3 linked regions of the Arabidopsis thaliana genome follow. The protein of the gene in region 2 interacts with the protein of the main gene of each other region in a pairwise test. Each region holds a gene or a part of one and is shown on either strand. Other genes may lie near its edges.

Region 1 (8,427 bases), about 22 Mb from region 2:
TTTTTTATTTATTTATTTTTTTGTAAACTAGGCTTAGCTATATGTATGTCGATAGCAATTCACAAGCAAAATGTCAATAGGACCTTATCTACATACAGTATATTCATATTTATAGAAATATATGCATGTAGGATACAGTATCCGCCAATAAAACAGTAGTCACGTATTTGTTTTTTTTATAATAATGATTAAATGTAAAGTAAATAGTATTTACATATTTATTTTTTCATAACGCTTTGAATCAAAGGAATATTAGACCATACGTTTAATTATTTTTTTCCAAAATTATCCCCAAATTCGTCCTTTTCCTACTTAACTTCTTCTTTTGTAATATCTCACAGAGCACAAGCAAATTAGGTTAAATATATATTCAAGGATAGATTATGATAACGTTTTTGTATTAGTTCATTTTGGCCATATTGTTTTTGTATTATTTTGTCTATATCTTTAGTAGGTAAAGAAAATGGCAGAATAGTGATGACCCAACTTCCCATGAGATTGATTGGAGCATGGAAGTTAGAAAGCTAGTCAAAAAGCAGTTTACTAGATTGGCAAATCCATAAAAGCGCTTAAAAGGTTTGTTAGAATATTAACTTTTGACACTCTGAATCATGAATTTCTATTTATATATCTATCACAACTTATGCCTATTGAATTATTTAGTGTCCCGTCGTCGGAATCAGTTTTTTTTGGTAATAAGTCTAGTTGTTCCGGCAATAAATGAAATATTTTTATGAGTTTAAATGCTTTTTTAAAAACTGATTTTCATTTTTTTTGGATTTTGACCCCCAAAAAGGTTTCATTTTCGATAGTACCTAATAATAATATGAAGTTGTTAGTCAAATGTAACCATCTCGCAAACTCAACCCAAATGTCAGTTTTCGGGTAGACATGGTACTATGATAGTGAGTTTGTTCCAACTTAATTATTACGAGCTATATCGATATATCGCTTATGTTGTTGTTGTTGTCTACCTTGTTCCTTAATTACGTCATATGAAAACTAGTTCAAATCATGAACTAACAAGAGCAGTGTATTAAGTACTAGTTTCATTTAAATGATCTTTTAGAGTTTTCTATGACTATTGCATCTTTAAGTTTTTTTTCTAATATATGTTTACTTCTCTGATTGTTTTTATTCAATGATGATATCGCGATGAATTACTATTTCATCTTTATTTTTGTTTTGTTTGTGATACATCTATCAAAATTTGTAACCAATTTTGGTTTTATTTAAAAATGATCTAACTAAACGAATAATCATATGTGATTGATCAGTTATTTGACTTTACCAAGCACCAACCATTGAATCAATTGGTGTAAAAAGTCTGCCTAATTATGTACTAACAACACTGACACAGAGCCTGCCATTGCCTTTTGCTTCTTTTATAAAGATACGCCTTTCATTTCCCTTTTTGTGATGTGATGCTAATTTGCCCATGATGGATTCAGATCGGGATCACTCACATTCAGAAGAAAAAAAGTTAATTTAGATCAATATTTGATTGCTTCAAAGATAATCTAATGTATTCTAAAATAAAACTCTCATAATCTTACCCACATAAATTTATTTTACTATAGAGTATAGATGCACGAGGTTGTATGATTTTAAATCATGTATTTCCATATCATTTCATTTGGACTGATCGCAGAATTTATAGTCAATTTTCATCAAAAACTCAGTGCACTTCAAATGACGATGAAATTAAATCTCAGTAAAAGAGAATAACGAGATCATTAAACACAAAACACACATGAAACTTTCTTGAGCTATAGAAGAACACTAAATAATAATAGGGTTGGCCTAAGATAGCCATCACACCTTAACTAAGGAACAAAAAAAACCCAATTTACCAAAAATAACTCAACATAACAAATTAAACAAACCCGAGGTAAAAGATTATTGTCGTCAAACAATTACAAAGAGATGTGATTTTTAATAAATACTAAAAAAAAATTGGATGTAGTAACTTATATATATTAGATCTCGAAATCAAAACCCCCTTATATGAAACTCTCTTTCTAGAAGGTCTTGAATGGCAAATTTGTATATCATGGCTTGTGAGGAGGGCATTGGTAGCATTTGGTAAAGAGACCAAAAGTGTCGATCTGGCGAACAAAGTTGACCATACTTGCCCATCCTCCAAACCCGAACCCAACTACGAATACCCAAACCACCACAAATATGTTTATGCAGTAAGTCCCCATCCATCCTCCTACCACTCTCGGTGGCCTCTCCACCGCATTCTATTTACGATATATCAAACTTAACAAAAATTAGATATACCAAAATATTATTTTAGCTATTTTTACATAATCTATGATACTATATAATAATTTTAATATAAACTAATAATATACTATTTCCAATTATTCTTTGTAAACTTATACTAAAATTGTAACAAGCTTTTTATGAAACAATTATAATTTTAAAATAGATATTTTGGAAGTTGGAAATCTAACCTCTCTTGAAGGAGCAGGAGCAAAGGTAAGCATATGAGCCAATGCGGGGATGATGTAGACAGTGAAGCTAACTAAGAGAGATCCGACCGCGGAATTGATTGGTCCGAAAAAGGGGAAGATAATGGCTAAGAACCATATGGGTACAACCACGGGTAATCTAGCCATGGCTCTTTTGAACATGCTCTTCGTCTCATGCACACCTATCAATTTCTCCCACACAAAATATAACGGTGTAGACGCGAATCCGAACGTTATAAATTGATGAATGAGCATGAGGATCACTGCGGTATCTCTAAAACCAGTCTTAGGGAGAAGAGAGAGCGCATTGGAATGAGTTAGTAGCTTATCGCCAAACGCCCAATAAACCGCAGACGCGGATGGTAGCGTTAGCGTTAGTACATATATGGTCGCTAGTAGATATATCGCCTTGAACTTTTGCGGTTTCCACATAGCGTGCATTATCTCCCTATTATATTTTTTCAAATTTCCAATACATAATTAGTTAAGCCATTAATTAAGCCATTTTATTTTTCCAAACAAAAAAAAAATACTTACACTGTGACGGCGTGGCCACCAAAGGTGTAGAGAATGTTGGTGGCTCCGGTGAAGTAAAGCACCATTGTGGTTGGACCAGAGTGTTTCACATCCTCAGCCTTTTTTATATGAAAAATAAATATATTAAACAACAATAACCAGGACTATATGTCTATATCTTATAATAATCAAAACAAGATTTGTGTTAATTATAATGACCTGGCCATGAAGGAGTGAAGCAATGGTGAGATACCAAGAAGTGTAAGTGGTCATAGCGAGTCCGAGGAATGACCAAATTCTATAATTGTGGAAGGAAGGAATAAAAACAGTTGTTGCACAGCACGCCCCAAATATGTATGTCCATGTCCTCTTGTCCAATTTGTCATTAATATAATATATATTGCTGCAAATCATTTTTTATATTAATTAATTTTCAATATGAAAAAACCATATAATAAAGAAAATGAACATTGATTATTAATTTACCTAGCACAAGCAATGAGCTGAATAACAGATCCAAAGAGAAGAAAAGTGCAGTTAAAGATCAATCCAAGGTTCCTCCAATGTTTCCCCAACAATCCATCTAACACCTCAAACCACTTTTTTACACAAACAAAAAAAAACAAAAAGTTAAAATTCAATAATACCACCAAAAAAATAAAAAATTATAACGAGTCACAAGAATTAGAGGTGGAATAAAACCTGAATAACGTGGTTACGGAAATCGAATTTTTCTCGTTCTTTACGAGTTCGATATTCAACGTAAAGAACACTAATGAGATAAGCAGTCCAACTTCCCATTAATCCATAAAAGAGTTGAAACAAAATTCCCGACATCATCCCAAGTTGTGAGAACGAGTATGGTAATGTCAACAGAACTTGTGCCACCTGCCATTTTTATAACAATTTAGCTATAGAAGACGATACATACACATCTATATATAAGACTAAATCTGTGGGAAGTACATACCTGATTTGAAGCACAACTAAACCAAGCATCGTAGACAGAACCACCATGCCAGAAGAAATTAGAGAGTTTTGTTTTAGTTGAAGATTTCTTGTTACCACTTATGTTTTCTTCTTCCCTCTCCATTTCTAAGTAATTCCCTGCGACCACTGTCTCTATTTTCTCTGCCGCCATTTTTCTCTTCTTCTCTCAGTTTCTTTAGCTTCTTTACTTCCACTCTTTAAATAGACTAGTGAAAAGCTTTTTCATTTATTTATTTGTTTTATGGGTTTTGTTTCCTTTCTTTTGCTCTGTGTGCAATTATTGAGTAACGAGTGTCGGGGGACGAAGTCTTTAGTCACAGCTCACGAGTTGTCATGGGGATATCGGTTTATGATTGGTTGGTGACTGAGTTATGTCACCTACTTGTGACTGTTACTGTTTTCGGCGAGCGTGGCGTTGTTTTTTTAATGGGCTTGATTTGATTGTTGGGCTTATGGGCCATATTTCTGGAGCATTACACGAACGGGTAGGCCCGGTTTGAGATTGTTAATTATATATTGACCCCGATAATATGCAAAAAAAGAGGGTTAGCTAATTATAGATTTTAAAGTTTAAAGTAGTGAGAGTAGACTAATTGTAAATTGAAAATAGAAGTGATGACAATGATGTTTTTTTTTTTTGAAAGAAAGGCTAAACTATTATTATCATTAACAATTATTTGAATCATGATGATTGTAACAACTAGAAACAATGAATAAAACATATTGGTCCTTTCCTCCTTCTTGTGATGAGGATGATAACGATCTTTATGTAGAATAATCAATTATATTTCTAAGTTTTTATGTTTTGTCCGATTATATTACATAGCTGTTACCTGGAACTCGAAATTACATAAATTTATGCCTTTGTCTACCATATGGCATCGCACATCCAAACGCTTGATTTAGAAGTAGAAAAACTTGGTTAAAAGAGAGGAAGAAATAGTGATTTGTGAGGTAATCGAGGATTGGAGATGGATCCAATGGAAAGAATGATTGCTAATCAGGTGGGATTAGTGGTAAACATAATTACCACACGTGTCTAGCTGTCTAAGCTTTATTTAACTCACTAATTTCTTAGAAATGTCTCCTTTTTAGCCCCATACTTTTACAATGGATCGAATTATTAATGAGAAGGTATCATCATTTTAGATCTTTATAGCTTTTTAACCCGGCCAAAATGGATGGCAGCGGAAAGAAGACTCATCGCCAATTGACATTAAAATATGCATTTTCAAATGTTTTTTTTTTTTTTTTTTTTTTTGTGATTCAACCTTATTTAGGCTATTGAGATATCTCCAAAAGATATAATATTGTCGTCCCTAAATAGAGCAGATATTCAGATATCATTGGTAATAATACTGAAAAAATGGCGAGTCATTGTAGTTAAATAATTTGACATCTTGAAACCAGGAACTCGATTCTACTGGATGGTTACAGATGGTTCCCATAACGACAAAGATTGTGAGATTTGTTTTGATTTTCATCAATTTATCTTCGTCAGAAAATCTGTTTAACCAAAAAAAGGATCATGACTATACAAATTTATTAATGGTGTAATATTCAAAAAGCAGAATATAAGAATGGACCGAACAATTGAGATTGAGTTCGACATAAATGGGCCATATGATTCATTAATTAGGCCTAATATATCAGTAGGTAGATGAATTGACCCATGACATGAAGGCTAAAATAATCAATATCAACAAGATTATCCAAATTCAATAATAGAAGATACAAATAGACAGATAAAAAGCCACATACAGTATAGATCCTTGGCCATTTGGACTTTGATTACCTTAACAGCATCCCAAAGAATACTTGCATGAAACATCAGGAAACGAATAACACTAACTAACTCTTTCCCATATTCCAAAACAAGGAACCTTAATTATTTGAAAACACATATAGTACTACAACCGATTATTATAATTGTACCGATAGACTCTCCATGCAAGTTATTCTTTCTTCCTCCCTTAAAAAGCCAGTCTCACTTCAAGATCAGAAAATAACATTACATTTGATCCTAAAATATTTTCTAGTAAAGATGCCAATTCGTTTCGGTTTGTCACCAAGGATCTTGTTACTCTTTCTCACCATATTATCAGGTAAAATAATTCAAACATTATAGTATTTTCGATCGTAATTAAACGTCTTTCCTTGTCTAGGTATTAATTAATTAGGGTTTGGATAACGATTAGAACTCCTGTGAATTACTCCACAGGAACAAAATGGTCAGAATCAGCTCGAGTATTCACGATCATAAACTCATGTGACCAAACGATCTGGCCGGCGATAACTCCAGGAGAAAACTTCAACGGAGGAGGATTCGAGCTCAAACCGGGCCAATCCATCGTATTCCACGCACCAGTAGGCTGGTCAGGCAGAATTTGGGGACGAACCGGTTGTAAATTCGACTCAACCGGAACCGGAACATGCGAAACCGGTTCATGCGGATCAACTCTAAAATGTTCAGCCTCCGGAAAACCACCAGCTTCACTAGCTGAATTCACATTAGCCGCATTGGATTTCTACGACGTGAGCCTCGTCGACGGATTCAATCTCCCGATGTCGGTGACTCCGATGAACGGAAAAGGAAACTGCAGCGTCGCCGGTTGCGTAGCTGATTTGAGGCCACATTGTCCGCAGGAGCTCGCAGTGAAATCAAACGGGAAAGTCATATCGTGTAGGAGTGCTTGTGATGTGTTTGATAGAGATGAGTATTGTTGTAGAGGAGTTTATGGGAACCCAGTTGTGTGTCAACCAACTTATTACTCAAAGATCTTTAAACAAGCTTGTCCTACTGCTTATAGTTATGCTTATGATGATCCGACCAGTATTATGACTTGCACTGCCTCTGATTACGTCATTTCTTTCTGTTCCTCCAGGTTTGTCCTTTTTACGTTTTTAACAACATCTCATGATTACTTTAATTATGATTCTAATCAAGTTTCATTCATACTAGACCATGACTTTTACATTTACATGATATACTTTATTCATCCTTTGTTAATTTCATATGCAAAAGTAAAAGTAATTCAAATGCAGAAATAAAGTTATATTTTTTGGTCTTTGTTTTTGAATTGTGTGTAGGAAGAAGCCGGTGTGCACGTACCATGACAACAAGTTAGTATGCAGCGATGGTTCTGGTGGGTTTAAGAAGATGATTGGGAGATTATTGTGGCTTGTGTTGATGTTGTCTCTTGTTGTGTTTAGCTAATTTCATGACTATTTATTAGATAAATAAGTTTGTTTGTTTTTTATTGTCGAGGAAAATTTCTCATTGACTGTAAATATTTTTCTAAGTTTTCATGTGTAAATAATTTTAAATTTCAGAGCAAATGTAAGGTTGATTTGAGAGTAAAAAGAAAGATGAAGATACATTTTAAGAAAAAGATCATTTCCGTGGCTGAATTGTAAGAAAGCGTAATATATTAAAAATGGGCCTAAAATGGGCCTGAAGTGAAATTTAACTTTACGTTGGTATTATCTCTGGTTTCACATTCTCTTAACCCTCTTGGTGAATGCGTCATTGAAACGCCATTATCCGCCGTGCTAATCTGAATCTCCTCCCCCGTCGGAAAAAATGGCCACTGGTGGAAAAGTCTCCTTCAAAGTCACTCTGACTTCGGATCCTAAGCTTCCTTTCAAAGTGTATGCGAATCCTGACTCTTGTTTTTTCGATTTACGCCTGTGATTGGTCTCTAAGTTGTTTTTTTTCTCCGATCAGTTTCAGCGTACCAGAAGGAGCTCCGTTCACGGCGGTTCTGAAATTCGCAGCAGAAGAGTTCAAGGTTCCTCCACAAACCAGCGCCATCATCACTAATGGTATTAAACCCTTGTTGACATTCATTTTTAGATCCTGGGCTTAAACCGCATCATCTAGCATTATTGATTTAGGGTTTGTGAGTTTGTACGATAAATGGGACATATGCAGGACAATTGTGTTCCTTTCAAATTTGATTCATTTCATCTTCATATGTTTGTGCATTCACGAGAATGTTATCTTAGACATGAATCATGTAAATCTTTTCCTTGAGCTCTTTATGTATCTACAAAGTTTACAAGTTTAAAGCTTTCTGGTGCTGGAAAATCTTAAAGGGATTTGTTTCGAATAGAATTATAGTTCTCATAACTAATCTATGATATTTTGGGTGTGTTTAGTCATCTATTGATTATTAGTTTCGGCTGATGTAATCCATATTCATCAATTCTCAAGATTTCTGATGTGATGATGTATCTGTATTCATGTGTGCAGATGGGATCGGGATCAATCCTCAACAGAGTGCAGGTAACTATCACAATGCTAAACACTTGGTTATTGCGTTTTACTCAATTCTCTATCTTTTATGCCATTGCAATTCTCAGTTTTGTTTCTCTCTTGCATGCTTTGATTGCCAATGTACTAATAGAGTCTTAGAAGATCACTAGTACTGTCCTTAAT
Region 2 (8,427 bases):
GGAACACCATGTTTTAATATTTAGTACCTCAGACATAATCAGCCATGGAATTGGTCCCATTCCTAGAGAGCAAGAAATAACCATAGCCTGTAAATAACTCAGCCAGATTTAGTACACATACCGGGAAATATGTAAATAAGAAAGTATCTTTCGTTGTGTGAATGTATAAAACAAACGACTTACCACAACTCCAACTACGGAAACCATGCTTAGAATGTTGTACATGTTGGAATCAGGTGATACAAATTCCTAACAAAAGATTAAGAAACCTCAATATCTCATAATTAGAGTGACACTCTTACATTGTACAAGTAGAGATGTCAAAAGTTAAAATGTTACCTTAAGGTAAAATGCAACTGCTACAATCACGAGGCTTATCGTCATTCCGATAGAAGAGATCTGCATTTCAGAAGAAAATGCTAATATTATGTTATGCATACATAAATTCTTCAGACTTTGTAAGATATACAGATGAATCTCAAATATTCTTCACCATGAGTAGAAGCCGACGACCTGCTTTATCCACCAACCATGTCGCTATCCCAGTCGCCACTACCTGGTATAGAATGAACAACGGTTAGAAAAATCGAATCTAATGTCTCCTAGATTGAAATGATATACCTGAACAACGCCAACTCCAAATGTCGCCACATTACTTGATGTCACCCCTTAGTGAATGATAATTGCAAACAAAGAAGCATAGTTAGAAATCTGTTTATTCTATCTTAGGACCATTCCAATAATCAAAAAAAACATATGACTCTACCTGCAGATTCAAAAATTGTACTCGAATAGAACAAGACACCATTGATTCCTCCAAGTTGTTGAAGTGCAAGCAGCCCTATACCAACCTGTAACACAGATTACAGGAAAAGAGTGAGTTTCTCTCATGTGTTGACAAAATTAGTTCAAGAGAGGTAAGAGAAATTGCACCATCAGTGGGAAATAGTATCTCCTGCGCTTGAGGTCTACAAACCGAACTGCAGAACGTTTGCTAGATGATGCCACAGATCTCTGCAGAGTGCATAAAATGAAAATTTTAAATAAGACAAGAAATCACATCAAAGCATTTCTTCAGTTTAGTCACTACCTTGATTTCATTAACCTCAACGGTAATATCAGTCTCAAATCCACGAAGAACTTGCAATGAAGTTTCGAAATCATCTGTCAAACCCATCTTTGCCTACAATTACAACACCAAAACAATTTAGGATAACCAATAATGCAACAAACTCAACAATATAAGCAATACGGTTGTAGAGGCATACCAACCACCGAGGAGATTCAGGAATGAAAAAAAGACCCGGTATCAACAATGTACATGGCAATACTCCTAAACATAAAGAAGACAAACAAGAAAGTGATTAGACTGTATCGATCAAAATAAAATAAAAACAGGTATAGTTTCTCCCAAGTCAAGTCAAAATGTTTTGTGAGTTACCCAAAACTGCAAGAATTCTCCATGGAACAAAGAGACCGAGTAAATACGCCAGCATTATCCCAATTGTTACAGAAAGCTATAAACACAAAACATTTATTGTTTAGTGTTAACATATGAATCAGCTCATAAAATGAAACATAAAAATAGTGAAGCTAACTAAACATGACAAACCTGGTTAACTGAACCTAAGGCTCCTCTCATGGTCTGTGGAGCGATCTCAGCTATATATACGGGAACCTAAAATCGCAATTCAAAGGTGTGTAATTATATTGATCACTCCAAACAAACATTGCTGAAATCAAAGAAATAGTTGAATCTAATATTACCGTATAGGAGATAATCCCAACTCCGAAGCCTTCTAACAATCTTCCCATGTAAAGAAAAGAAGTATCCTAAACAAAAACCAAGAACAACAACAACTTAGTAGGTATAGAGATAAGCCAAGAATATCAGAAACTTTGAGAACACCAAAACACTCACTTTTGCAAATGATATCGAAAGCCATCCAATAATATTGGGAATTGCAGCAATCATCAGAGACTGTCAAAAGGAAAGAAAAACACAGTAAATAAGATACAACAAGAAAGAAGATGTTACATGACAAATTGTCACAGATGAGAACATGTTTTAGAATCAAGAAACAAAACTATTATACCCCTTTCCGTCCAACGTATTCAGCAATCTGACCACTCGCAATTGCTCCAACCATAGCACCCACATTGGATAGAGACCCAAACACAGAGTACTAAAACATCAAACAAGAAACCTAAAAGTCAGAAAATTACAGAACAAGAGTCTTTACAAAAAAAAAAAAAAAAAACAGAACAGTTCTTAAATAAAGATGGGACCTTCATACCTCTGATACAGTTAAACCAAGATCCTTAGTAATGGCAGCTTGAGTTGGTGAGGAATAACCACACTGAAAACAAAAAGATAAATCAAAATCAACACTTTCTTAGTCAATTTGAGCAAAAGCAGAGAAATCCACATTGATAAAAAAAAATATAAGAAAGTTGAGATATTTGTTTATGTTGTTCTTACAGTGAATCCGAATTGAATAGGACCAAGAGCAACAATCAAAACACAAGCTAAGACAGAAATTGAGCTGTCTCGAATAACTTGAGACGATTCCAACATACTAGATTGTCTCGAACCCATCCGATACCAACTTCCTGTGTGTAAGAACGGTCGCCGAAGATCATTTCTTCCCTCTTCCGTATTATCATCCCTAAAACTCATCTTTTTGTTTTTCTTAAATCTACAAAACAATCGTAATCTACAGAGAGAAAAAAGCACGAATCTTTCGGAGGATAAAAATGTCGATCCTAAACTAGAAAATGCAGAAGAAGAAAAATACGAAATTTGAGGTAGGATTTGAGTTTTGGGTGAATTCAAAAAGATGTTAGACTTGTTTTGCTTAAGAATTCTTCATGGTTTGTAAAAATTGAGCCTTTGCGTGGAGAGACGCAGACTGTTTCATAGTTTTCCACCTCAGAACGCGTCGCCTAACATCGATTTATAGAATTCGTAAAGGGACCTGTTTTTTTTCTTCTCTGTCGACAAAAAAAAACTTAATTTAAAAACATTTTAATTTGTAATTAAATAAGATATCGTTCATTTTAAATTCTTTTATATCAAATTTAACTATTGTTTTTTTTTGTCTGATTGTCGTTTTCGAGTTATTTTTTGCGCAAAGATAATTTTTTGAATCATTGTCCCATGTTCGCTCACATATACAAGCATTTGTAGTCGCTTTGAATCATTTATTTTCTTCTACATACTTCTACATACTCATTAGTATTATAATGAGCTTTTACAATGTAACTAATTACGCAACAATACTATAAAATTGTGGTACAGGCTGAGACTAAACTATATTGTATTTTTAAGAAAATGTTTTTCTTTTTGTTTAGGTAAACTGTCTACTTCAAAGATATTTTTTGGTAGGAATAATAATTAAAACTTCCCATATTAGAATACGAGGCCACTAGACATTCCTTTTGACAACAAAAAGTGACAATGTCATTTTATATTTTAGCACTTATAATAATAGTTAGCATGCATTATAGAATTCATATTTAGATGTTGTCCTAACTCTTAACAAAATCAGAATAACAATATTGTGGGAGAAAATTTAGCTAAAACTTCAATTTAGGACAAATAATAAGATTATTAAAGTAACACTTAAATATGAATATAATGCTCGAATCCTCCTCTACTTTTTAGCATTTTCGCTACCTCGTTGATATTGATGTCGATAGGTCACAAATATGCAAGTGACATTATTTTATTAGATAAACTCGAATAATTATAGTTTTTGTTTTCTAGTATATGAAAAATATATGGATGTCATTAATTTCGAATACTTCAATAAATATAAATATTTATTCAGATACAACATTATTTATTTATTTTCAATATTTAAAATCTTTGAGAATACGACATGTTATTTCAATGTTTACCAATAACATCCTACTATATTATTTAGGAAATACATTTTAAATATAACTTTATTTTTTTGTAAGTAATTACATAGGTATGTCATTAGAAATAAGATTTTAAAGAGTAAATTAATTTATTTCTTTAAAAATTAAAAGTCAAATACTAATTTAATTAATTAAATTTAACTCAAAAACGAAATACATTATTAATTTCCAAAAAAGTAACCAATTAAAATCAACAAATTAGATTTGATATCTAAATTATCATATTAATTTTTTATTAATTATTATAGTTCACCTCTCATCTTTATATGATTCTATTTTTGCAAAAAAATAATATCATCGTTATAAAAAAATAATTAGAATTTTTTCGCATATGCCACAATTTGAATTTTTAAAAACGAATATAAACTGTTCAATACATGAAAAAATACTATAACGGGTCAAAAGTAGATTTAAGAAATTTTTTTACTGAGTACTGTGTCATAGTTTGAATATTTATATTCAATTTCATACATATTATTTTAAAATTTATAATCTTATATACTACAATAATTAATAACATATTAGATTTTTTAATGTGTATGATGTGATTCAATTTTTAATACAAGCTGAAAAATCCTACAATTGACGGGTTTAAATCAATATTAATACAAGATGATATACTATATGTGAAACTTTAAAATTAACAATCAAAATACAAGTATATAATTTTAAACACTAAACAATATAAATAATATCAACAAAACATATACAACTCGCAGTTTACTATACATTTAAAATCAAATAAAATAATATCATATATTTATAATCAACTTTACAATAAAAGTTTTTAGTTTAACTAAAATATAAGACTACCTGCTGTATAATGCAAGTTAAAATTATAAATAAGCCGATTACCATCACGATGGATGTACCATCTCACATACACACCTATCAAAAACTTAAAACCTTTCAAAACCTCTTGGTATATTCAAATTAGGATTCTTCATTCATGGAATCATTATTCCAAGGGTTTTGGGATGTCTTATGAAATGATTTTGGCAGAAGAAGATGTAAATTTTTTTGAATAAAAAGTAGTCACCAAAACATATGTTTTATTGGGATTTTTTAGATAATTAAATCAGAGAATAGGGCTAGGCATATGAGTAACCCATTCGAGTTCGGGTATAACCCGTTCGGATTTGGGATTAATGGGTATATGATTTACTACCTAATAGAATAATTCTAAATATTCGGTTCGGATCGCGTCCATTTGGGTTTAGGTCAGTTTGGATAAAAAGTTTCAGGCCCTAAAAATACTCAAAAAATAGAAACAGGTATTTTGTATGTAGATAATGCGTCTCCAAACAACAAAAACTTTTAAATTTATTAAATTTTAATAAATTTAATTATATTTAAATATATTTTACTAAAGTTTGACAAATATAACAAATAATTTTGACAAACATAGCAAACATAATAAAGTATACAATTTAATTTATACAAAATATTAATGTTCGTGCTGTATAGCACGAGTTATGATCTAGTTATGTTTTAAAACATAAGTTTAGATGACATTTTCAATGTTTACCAATAACATTATGTTTTAAAACATAAATTTAGATGACATTTGATGTTGTATTGGTGAATAAAATATATGTATTGGAAAAAAAAAAAAAAATCTCCACAAAAGTCATTCTCTCTTTTTTCTAAAATTCATTGAAGATATATTTTTAAAAAAAAAGAAAAACAGAGTGTTATTTACAGATGAATGAATTGGGAAACATTTAAGTAATTTTTTAAATATGATACGTATGTAACCTGTTAGTTGTTAATCTTCTTAGTTGTTAATAACGTCGGCATAATTGAGATCCCAAAATCACACAAGTTACATACACGAGGTTTTATTTTTTTAAAGAACTTCTAAATCGAGATAAATCTATGGTCGATAGAGGCAACGACAAGAAAGGCCAGTAGATATCACACCAAACACGTCTTATTGGGGTTATGATTCATAGGCTCTGATTCATCGTTCAACATATAATAATATTCTGTTGACCCAACAATGCAGATTCGTATATTTTCACTGTTCTGGGTCTTTTGTCTCTTTCTCATCTCTCACGTGTTAGTGCTTACATCTCTGTGTAGCCGTTTCCGGATCCCGACACAAGCATTCTCTTCCATTGTCCCCACTTTGCTTAGTTGGTCTGATACTTTTATCGGTTTTAATATCAATAAGTAACACGATTTTCACCATTTAACGAGTACATGCAACACGATTGTACATGTCACATTTATCTTGGCATAAATCTATCTATGATCGTTAACACGATTATACATTAAAAACTTTGGATCAATTATTTTTTATTTTCTCTTTTATTGTTGGGAGTAGTGTTCTAATTGATTTAATAATTTTTATTGAGAATAATAATCGAATTTAAAATGCAGTGTGTATTAGACAATTAGTGGACTTATAGAGGCTAATTTAAGTAACCAAATTTGGGCTTTAATAAGGATCCATACTCTTCGGCTTGAAAGCCCACATTGTAAAGTTAAAACACTATATCAGGCTCTGTTTTCATTATGGCTATAAATACACGAGTTTTTCCAGAAACCAAATCAGGCTCTGTTTTCATTATTTCTCGCTGCTGACTTCACAGACGACGATGGCTAATATCTCTGAAATTTCCGGCGACTCTAATGACGGCGGAGATCCAAACAAGAAACCAGAAGAACAAGTTTTGAGAAGAAGTAGAAGAATCGCGACAAGAAACGAGAATCAAAACAAGAAGCCCAAGGAGGAAGAAGAAAAAGATAATCGCTCGGTATCTTTTCCAATTCCAAACGAGCTCACGGAAGCTTGCGTCGCACTCATCCGGAAATGTGATTACCCTAGTCTATCTTCCGTCTCAAGTTACTTTTTCAATCTCATCGCTTCGTCAGAACTCTACGAAACGCGTTCGCGCCTCGGTCTTTCCGAAACCTTTCTTTACGCCGCCATCCGATTCCCTGACACAAATCCCCCAAACTGGTACATTCTCCATCGAAACAAGGTTTCTTCTTTACGTTTGAGCAAACTCGAATCACTTCCACCTGTGCCTTATGGATGTTCTGTCGTCACAATCGGTCAAGAGATGTATGTAATCGGTGGACTCCTCGATGTAAGACGTTTACAGTTGATGACTCTCATCGACTGCAGAACTCACAAATGTCGCTCGCTTCCGAAAATGAAAAGGGGTCGTTACCATGCAGCCGCCGGAGTATTCGACGGAAAGATTTACGTAATCGGAGGTTTCAGGATGAGAAAACCGGATGCTGAATGGATTGAAGTGTTTGATCTAAAGAAACAGATTTGGGAATCTTTGCCTGGTCCGTACCCTAAAACTAGTATGGATTCCCAGTTTTTTGCACATGCGGTGATGGAAGACAAGTTATACATTTTGGGCTCACGTTGCTTGATTTACGAACCAAAAAGAAACGGTGAATGGGACGCAACCGTCAATGCAAATCCAATATGGAATCTGTGGAAAGTGCCATGTACTATGCAATGTGTGATAGATGATATGTTGTATACGATTGATCCTCAGTGTACTCTTGGACATCCAATAGTCGTTTATAATCCAAAGGACAAAACGTGGAGACCTGTGAAAGGTGAATCTTTGAGGACATTGCCTAGTTATTTTGTTTCTGATGGGTCTGAAATGGCGAATTTTGGTGGAAAGTTGGTGATTTTGGGCAGTAATGGGAGCTGCTATGATACTGGTGATTGCATTGGAGAAAAAGGTATTTGGTGCGTAATGATCGAGTTGGAAAAACGTGAAGGAGGTGAGATTTGGGGGAAGGTTGAATCACTCGACTGTGTGCTTGGAGACATAAACTTTCTGTCGGTTTGGCTTTGTCAAACTCTGACCCTTTGATGATACAAGGGATGGTTTCTTGCAGGTACGTTTATGTGAATGAGTATGAACCTTTTTTGATATTCAGGCCTCTTCTTTAGCCTCAAGGCTTACATACTTGTCCTTTTTCATGATCTTGTTGCAGATGAAGGATCTTTATTACTCAAGAGTCAAGAGTAACTCGGTCCTTGTTAACCTTTGTGTACAATAATAATACTCTTACATAATTATCATAGCCTTGAGTAGATTTATTAAGCTGTAACAAGAGTGGGGCTATCTGCAGTTATACAATACATTCCTTACCAAAACTTGTTGAAATGCATCTTTAGTTACAGCTATGTTTTGGATATTTTGTGCAGTTTCACACTTTCACTAATATGCTATGTGCTCTCTATTTGTTCTTTTCTGTAAGTAATAATCACACACAATCAGGTAGTAACAAAAACTCATTCTGTTTCTACTATATGTGCAAATATGAAATCATTTAGAATTCAGATGAAGCAAAACTAACCGAGTTTAGTTAACTTGAAGATTCAAAGAGAACAGGGTAAGAAATACCAAGTAGCCGAATGTGGGCTTTAAAAAGCCCATATAATGGTCATCGCGTAAAAGACGTGTTAGAGAAGATATAAAGCCTAGTTAGGGCAGACTAAATCCCAAAGTCCAC
Region 3 (8,427 bases), on a different chromosome or scaffold from region 2:
GAAGAAAATCTATTAACATATTGAAAATCTAAACAAACCAAAGACATTACAATTCTTGAGATCAGAACACTAATTAACCAAACGAAGAATCTGACAACTATTAATAAACCCGAATCCAAAGCCAAACACTTTAACAATATATTAAAACCAACTAGTGAGCTTAAGTTGCAGAACAAGAATTATCAGCAACAACACCACCTTCCTCAGCTTTCTGCAATGCCTGCTTCTCCTTCAACGTCGCCTTAGCTGTATCATACGTTGCGTGCAACCCAAACAAGACGTAATATATGAGCAGAATACCTGTCCAGATTGCAAACCTAACGAACGATTTTGTATCGATGGAACCAAGAAGGAAGATATTAATAGCGATGGAAGCAGAAGGCAACCACGGAACCAAAGGAACACCCCAAATTTTCGGAGCCCTAGCTTGCGGTACAAGAAACTTCATGGCAACCGTAGACAGAAACCATATAGGAACCGTAATGCAATACCCAATCCAACCTTCTTCTTCCAAAGCCCAATAAACAGCAGTCGCGGTAGAGGACGCAAGAATCAAACCTAAGAACACTAAAAACTTGTTACGGTCACGGGTCGATGTTTCTCCGGTGACGTAATATCTTCTAACGAGAAGAGCCACAGCAACGAACATGAAGATGAAAAGTGTGGAAACAGACAAGAGATCGGCTAAAATTTTCAGTTTTGTGAAGAATGCTATGAGAGCTGTCGCGGCAAGCATTACCACGGTCGCGTTAATTGGTGTTCCGGTCTTTGCGTTGACTTGAGCTAGCCATGGAGGCATCATATGGGCTCGGGCTATGTGTGTCATGTACCTAGCTTGACCAATGGCCCCAACTAACAAAACCGTCGTCATACCTAAACATTTCAAAGATTAGTATAGATTTTAGACTATACTAAATGTAAACGCAAACGCAAATAAATAATGAAGGCCAAAATCTTTGGCATACCTTTAAGAGCCCCAAAGGCGACAATGTACTTAGCCCAATCCCATCCAACGGCAGAAAACGCAACCGAGAATGGCGCGTCCGGATCAATCTGTTGATACGGCTGCATAAGACACAACGTAACCGCCATGAGACAATAACAAACCGTAGTAACCACCATCGATCCAACAAGACCAATAGGAATATCTCTCCCTGGATTCTTTGTCTCCTCAGCCATCGTTGAAACCGCATCAAATCCAATATAGGCAAAGAAAAGAACCGCGGCGGATTTAAACACTCCTCTAACGCCGTAAGGAGTGAAATCGCTGTAGTTTTTCACATCGGCTTTAGTAAATCCGGCGATGATAACAAAGAGAATCACGACCATGTGGATTATAGAAGCAATGTAATTGAATCTTGAGGAGCCTTTTGTGCCAACGACAGCTAAAACACAAATGATGGCGCAAACGCCGACGGCTATTGGATCTAAGTGGCTATAGTCTTCGCCGAGTTTGTGAACTATGATGCGGAAGTCTTCAGGTTTATGGTTTAAGAGAGTGGCGAAGTAAGAGGTCCACGATCGAGCCACGGCAGCTCCACCGACAACGTATTCGAGGATTATGTTTCCCGCGGCGATGAAGGCCATGAAGTCGCCGAGCTCCACTCTTAAGTAGGCAAAAGAACCGCCTAAACATTGACTCAATGGTTATGTAAATTAAATAGTAAATATGAAAGAAATTACATAATGTTTTTACAAATAATTGTGGGCGAAGTAATGTATGCGTTTGAGTTTCTATTTACGATAATATTCAATTTGAGTTCGAAACAACTTGGAAGTAAAAAATAATTTTGAAAATGACTCCACTTTCTACTTTCTAGGACCCAAACATAATCTCTAGTGGGATTTCACTACAAGTTATTTCGAAAATGAAAAATATATTTTTGAGTAGTAATACTATATTAAATTAATTTACTTTTGAACTGTCAATAAAGGCAATTTACAAGCTTGACTTATATAGTTGGGACTTACGTATATAAGGTCATTGACGTAAGTAATCATCTGTTTAGCTTAATTTCTTTGTCTGTATGTAAAAGTCTTCTAGGTAGACCCCATGACTAAAATTGTGAAATTACAAAGTTTTAAATACAATTTTAAAAGTAGCTAACAATCTAATAAATGGCAACAAATATTTTGCAACTCTAAGATAATAATCAAATCATTCGATTGTTTAATTTGTGATTTGATAGTATTGTAGCTACTATCAAATTTAAAAGGAAAAAAACGGAGGATAAATAGTAGATTGATACTAGATAGTGTGAACGACCCTCATAAGTCAGATGTCAACTAGTTGACCCCAGAGATTCCGTCACGCTACGAGAGTTGAAAATTCAATATTTGTTCTATAGTAATTTTTGTAATAAAGAAGCTGATCTTATTCATTTACACATTTTAAACCTAAATAGTTTTTTTTTTTTTGGTTTTAACCTAAATAATTTACAAGTAAGACAATAACTACATTTTTAATTAATGTTGAGTTTAGAAGTATTACTAAAAGCATATCGTATGGTTGACTCTTTGTACATCAACAGAATATTTTATTGGTCGTTGTATTGAGGTGAATTATGCAACTGATATATAAAAAAAGGACTCATAACCACTAGTGACTCCCAAAACATGGGACAAAAACTTAATCGACACCGAACCAAAAAAAGAAGGATTAAGTTGCCGGAAAAATGCACCAGCATAAATGATTGAATCAAGTAGAATATTTTCTTATTGACGAAGTTGTCAGAAATGATACGTCTGCATATTTATTAGATCTTGATAAATGTACGCTACATTTTTCTATTCCCTAATTATGATGACACTATAGTTAGAATATCGCTAGAAAAGATATCCTCAAATATGCGTTTCGTTTAAACATGTAAATCGTAATTAAAACTAAATTTAACCAGCTAAGAGACTCTTAGCCTGCTTAAACGTATTTTCCCTATCTTCCTACTTATGACACTAATCCTAAAAAATATAGTCTGAACATTTTCTTGAAATTCGCATATTTATGACCGACGTTACAAAAAAATAGGATCTGTTAAGATGCGTCTTTAGTTCAAAGATGTAAAAATGAAATTTTAAACTTGTAAATTTTAATATTTTTCAACTTTTTCAAATTAGAAATTCTCTAACAAGAAAATATAAATATAACATACCAAAAAAAAAACGAAAATATAAATATAAATGAGAAACAGAGGAAATGATAATTTTGTTACCTGCGACGGGAATCTCAACGGCGAACTCGGTGTAACAAAAGACGGAGAGCATGGCGGAGACACCAGAGACAACGTAAGACAACACGACGGCTGGACCGGAATGATTACGTGCTTCGAGTCCAGTGAGAACGAATATCCCAGAGCCGATGACTGCACCGATACCAAACCACATGAGATCCCACCACGTCAACGTCTTCTTCATCTCGTGACCACTACGAGCCTTCATCTCGTTAATCTCGTCGGAGTCTAGTGACCGAGTCATAATACGATCCATGAACCGACTCGGTGTTTCTTTAAGGGCTTTTAGGTAATTCCCCATGCTTTGGAACGATTCTTCCGGTAAGAAATCGTCTTTTGTGCATGAACAGCCTCGCCGACGAAGCCCATCGTCACCACCACCCGAAGCCATTTTTTTTGTTAGAAAATTATGTTGATCCAGATTCTGATTCAGATTCAGAATCTGAGATCGGTTTTATAAAGACTCTGTTTTTTTAGAGTGAATGGTAAGAAGAGAAACTGAAAAGTGAAAAACTCTTTAGTTTTTGTAAATTAATAACAGAATTTTGGGTTCCTAAAGTCTGCCTTACTTATAGTAGCTATCCTTTGACGTTTTTCTTGTATTTATTTCTTTCTATAAACAATTATTTATCGACGGTTTTGTGTAATTAGCTGGAAATGTGATACGGTAAATTAAATTATGGAAACCTTAAATAGAGTCCATGAGATTTTGTTCTTGTTGTATGGTCACTAGTTGGTCACCAGCTGCATTCTTTGACCATTTTTTCTAAGAAAAAGATGAAATCGAATTATAAATGTAAACAAAATCTGGTGTGCCATAAAAAGAAAAGATCATGTGTGATACGAATTTTTCCATCGGATCACGTCTTCTGGATAATTCAATAGTACTTTCTCATTTAAGTAAAATGTTATATCCGTTATACTCAAAATTATGATATATAAAGAAAAAGTTATATGTTCAGTTTCAAACTTGTATATGAAATTTATTGGTTTTAAACAAAACTCGACTTAGTTGATAATTGGGTTCTAATTCACACCAACCACTTACCACAATTGCTCCTCCTATTACAAGCGCGTCAAGAAAATGATTTAGCCTCCCCTAATTTTTCAAGTTTTTTTTTTAATGTTTACTTCCTCTAGTTTTGTATTAAACGATGTCCAAGAACTGTGATCCTATTTTTGGTTTCTTTTGTGCTTCCAATAAACCATGAAAAATGAACCCAAAAAAAAAAAGAACGATCATGGATTTTGGATCATGTATGTATGTTATGTGAGTTTAAAGAGAAGAAAGTCCATCGAGTTTCACAAAGCATCTAGAGCGAGCGTAATGGGCATCTCTTCTCGTTTTGGACCTTGGTGGACATCTTGTTTAGAACATACATCATACATGCATTACACGATAAGATTAGAAATAAATAATACTAATCCATATGACCAAGACGAAGAATCTTGTTCCACATGGAAACATAGGGGCAGGTCAACTGTAGTGAGAACCAATACAATTTTGAAGTCAAAACAATTTCCTTGGATCAAGCAATCAAGTTTCGTCTAGATAAATACAAGAATTAATAATTATTTCTGCTTCAATAATATCTTGTTCTATCACCGGTTGACCAAAACATAACTCACGGCGTCATGATAAACTTGCTGCAAATCTCACGAATTTAGAGAAATTGACACTTTTGGGAATAGTAAAACACTCTTTTAATTCAGTAAGATACCAAACCGGGAAACGTCTTTCTACTTTCAAGTTTCAACTATATACCAAACCGGAACGTTCTTTTTATTTGCAATACCACCCAGAGTTGATAAGTAAGAGCAAGGAGATTTTTAGTCAGGGTTTTTAGCCTTTATGGAATAATACATAATCCAGATTTAACAAGTGACAAGATTGTAACAAACAGTCAGAGATAGCGAATAAAGCTATGTTGAATTTAATCGCCACTCGCGCATCCTTGACAGCCGCAGTGAACGCATTCGACCACTTTCTCTTCACGCAAGTGTTTGGGAACACGGCATACACATGTTGTTCCATAGTTGTGGTCTCTTGGCTGTATGCAGCGCAAGCAGCATAAACGTTCGTATCCCGACTGCAAAACACAAAACAGAGAGTTTTTAGAGTTACTTAACACAAAGTATAGAGACACGTATAAATGACAAAATCTTAGTTCAATGAAAGAAAACAAAAGTGAAATCTAGGTATATGTCTGGATAGTATAACCTACAAAGAGAAGATGCAACAGAATTGACAGGGAGGAGTTTGTTAATAAACGATTCATGAGTGACCATCATTAAGATGTGGGAGTATGGTTAGAAGTTAGAACTATCCAAAATTTGGCAAATCGTGGAGGCAATGCACTTTGTTCGAAGTATAATTACCAGAAATCTTATTTCTTCACCAAACAAAGCAACAATACCAATTCTAGAACCTATTCGTTAGTGAGATCATTCCAAGTAAGTGCATATGCTAAGGACATATATTTCAGAGAAACAGCTTCAAGACTCATTGTGCAGTAAGGCGATACTAGACTCTCTAAACTAATACAACAATATTTTACATAATAGAAACTCCAAATCGCTTCAATTTGGCCTTAGACAACTAACTAAAAAGGCATACAAACAGAAGTTAATTCAAGAATGATATAAAAACATACCTTTTTCCATTTGGCAATCAGACTGCGATCTGCATAGCCCTGGTCCAAGCAGAATTCATAGAGCTCTTTAGATATTTCTTCCCTTCGGTAATAAAGGTCATATACATACCGACTCCTCTGATGAGAAACTTTGAAGATTGGCCATAAAGTTTCACACTTTCTCTTACCATCATGTGAATCAGTCTCAGCTGCACAAGGAACACGATAGTTAGAGCAAAATCACGGGAAAAAGAAACAAGCAAAAGCATATGTTATTGAGATATAACAAAATCTTTATATGAAACTAACCTTCTCTCATCTTGGCATCAAGCTCTCGAAGAGTAGGCTCGATCAACTCCCATCCTTCTGGGTACTTGACTCGGTTAGTTTTAACCTTTGGCATTTTCTACACAACGCAAATTCACAACGTTAAACAAAGGAACAAATTAAGCAAAATGGGATACTTTCACCAAAACGAGAGATTCTAAGACTTTCATAGTTCCAAAGAGATTCTCAATTAAGCAATTGAAACAACAAGCAAGGACGCTTCCGGAAAATTAGGGTTTCTGCGTCAAGGCTACATCCAATACAACGCAGAGGGTTGATCCAAACATAAATCCAGAACAGTCTAGATAAAGTTTCAGTAATAGAAGGTGAACAATTAGGGTTTATCAATCTCTGTGTTTTGGGATAGAAGGGGAAAATTTAGGGTTAAGAACCGAAACAAAAGGAGGGTGCCGAAGCAAGATTGGTATGAGACAGAAATTGAAGAAGCTTACCTTTGGACAGGACGAGGGAAGTTGGAGAAGGAGAGATCGCGGCGCAGGACAAAGGAAGAAGAACCAACGTCGTCGAAGAAGCCTCTTTAGGGTTGTGTTCGGAAATCGGTATAACGAGTGGTTTATCTTGGGCCGCTCTTACGAATAAAAATATTCTTTTACTGTTATCTTTAAATTGGATAAGACATTTTAAAAAAATTACATAAAAGTTTTTCTGATGACGAAGTTTAGCACAATTTTCAGGAATCCTGTAGTGATTTTGTATTTCCATTTTGAATAGAAGACGGATGCTTACAAACTACAAAGTTTAGTAGAACGTGGAAGTAACAAAACCTATAGGATTCAACTTGGCATAAATGCAAATAGAAAATCCCCAAAATATTGGAACTTTATAACATCAAACATCTTTAGCTTTCGACATTGTCTGCAACTAAGCAATTATTTGGCAAGACGGAATAAACAGCTTCAAGAAAAAGACCAGTGCAACCTTAGTCTGCTACTGCATATGGGCAGTGACTGATACATTGAGAAACCAAAAGCATATAAAAAAGAAGGAAAAATCAAGAAGCTGCTTATTCCTTTTTGCCGATTCCATTCGACATGTTGTAGATTCCTGTTCCCTGTATTTAGCCAAACGTTTCTTCCATAGTTAGATGATGAACAAAGTTAAAGAAAGCTGAAGCAATATTGATGTAAGTAACAAGTTCTAAAGGGTGACATTCAACTTCAAACCATTGTGAACAGACACAATCAGCAAGGAAATGAACAAACCATTAGTAAAATAAGGAAGAACAGACACAAAGACAAAACAGGATGGCGAGAACGAATACATGGTTTTGAAAAATCAGCAAGGAAATGAACTTACAATCATGTAGAGAGAACTTGCAGCCAAGGCAATAGGAATAGCAACAGAAGTGATCTTGTCCATTGGTCCTTTCAAGTAAGTGTGCCTTTGGATGCTCTGGAACAATCTCTGTTTCTCCAGAAGCTTCTCTCGTGGCCTAAATGGAGTTTCAGTCAACATGATCTGCAATTCCATAGCCACACAATAACCATTATCGTTCAAGTCATTTATATAGAAGAACATACTGATTAGACAAACCATTTGACCAATATATGAGATAACAACACATTTTATAAACAATAACATACTGATAAAACAAACCATTTGATAAAGTATACGTAGTATTCAAATCAAGACACTAAATTGACAGCGATTACATTCAAATTATTCTTGTTTTCTGTCGTTCATCAAAAGGGCAATGATAAAGCCACATAATCAGGGCTGGATCTGAGTGACTGCAAAATATCCAATTAGGATTTCTACATCGCAGAGATCAAATCAACGCAATTAAAAAACTTTACGGTGAAATCCCGATTAAATTAGGTCAAATTTCAACAATCTAACGGAAACAAATTAGGTTTATCATTCTCTGAAATTTGAGATTGACACAAACCTTTTAAAAAATGGACAAAATTAACGATTACCAACGAAAGAACCCGATTGATGCGAAATCAAAATCGATCTACGAGGAAAAATCTCAGAAGCTTACCTGAGAGAAATTAATCGACGAGATAAGGAATTTTGAGAGGGAGAGATAATCGCAGCGTAGGTCGATGACGAAGAACAACAAAATACAAAAGGCGATGAACTAGTCTTCTTAGGGTTGGGTTTATCGAATGTTATCAATTGGGCCGGGCCGAATTAGATCCAGGGTAAACCTATTAATTCCAGTTATATACCAAACCGGAACGTACCGTCTTTAAAATTTCAATTTTGTGTTCTGA

The links.
Region 1: the proteins of AT1G19450 (region 2) and LAX3 interact in a protein complementation assay, tested with the Arabidopsis thaliana proteins (one large-scale study listed by BioGRID).
Region 3: the proteins of AT1G19450 (region 2) and AAT1 interact in a protein complementation assay, tested with the Arabidopsis thaliana proteins (one large-scale study listed by BioGRID).

What each region holds. Positions count from the first base shown.
Region 1 is NC_003070.9:29,199,181-29,207,607, forward strand, and holds LAX3 (uncharacterized protein), read right to left. Parts: upstream 4,239-8,427; 5' UTR 4,138-4,238; coding exon 3,967-4,137; intron 3,885-3,966; coding exon 3,699-3,884; intron 3,596-3,698; coding exon 3,483-3,595; intron 3,400-3,482; coding exon 3,216-3,399; intron 3,116-3,215; coding exon 3,018-3,115; intron 2,929-3,017; coding exon 2,463-2,928; intron 2,247-2,462; coding exon 2,052-2,246; 3' UTR 1,237-2,051; downstream 1-1,236. Other genes in the region: AT1G77700 (Pathogenesis-related thaumatin superfamily protein), read left to right, coding at 5,567-5,642, 5,968-6,091, 6,167-7,037; CCP2 (ubiquitin-fold modifier), read left to right, coding at 7,570-7,637, 7,714-7,811, 8,242-8,274. UniProt on the Arabidopsis thaliana protein: Carrier protein involved in proton-driven auxin influx.
Region 2 is NC_003070.9:6,731,954-6,740,380, forward strand, and holds the start of AT1G19450 (Major facilitator superfamily protein), read right to left. Parts: upstream 3,072-8,427; 5' UTR 2,681-3,071; coding exon 2,483-2,680; intron 2,361-2,482; coding exon 2,298-2,360; intron 2,187-2,297; coding exon 2,097-2,186; intron 1,982-2,096; coding exon 1,922-1,981; intron 1,834-1,921; coding exon 1,768-1,833; intron 1,679-1,767; coding exon 1,613-1,678; intron 1,518-1,612; coding exon 1,442-1,517; intron 1,334-1,441; coding exon 1,269-1,333; intron 1,184-1,268; coding exon 1,091-1,183; intron 1,015-1,090; coding exon 934-1,014; intron 852-933; coding exon 767-851; intron 669-766; coding exon 622-668; intron 557-621; coding exon 494-556; intron 400-493; coding exon 340-399; intron 250-339; coding exon 184-249; intron 88-183; coding exon 28-87; intron 1-27. Other genes in the region: AT1G19460 (Galactose oxidase/kelch repeat superfamily protein), read left to right, coding at 6,531-7,781.
Region 3 is NC_003075.7:11,265,509-11,273,935, reverse strand, and holds the start of AAT1 (amino acid transporter 1), read right to left. Parts: upstream 3,952-8,427; 5' UTR 3,619-3,951; coding exon 3,210-3,618; exon of another isoform or gene 1,972-3,209; intron 1,629-1,971; coding exon 966-1,628; intron 874-965; coding exon 161-873; 3' UTR 1-160. Other genes in the region: AT4G21110 (G10 family protein), read right to left, coding at 5,162-5,317, 5,882-6,069, 6,170-6,263; AT4G21105 (cytochrome-c oxidase/ electron carrier), read right to left, coding at 7,212-7,259, 7,505-7,663. UniProt on the Arabidopsis thaliana protein: High-affinity permease involved in the transport of the cationic amino acids (e.g. arginine, lysine, histidine, citrulline, valine, and glutamate). Transport mostly basic amino acids, and, to a lower extent neutral and acidic amino acids.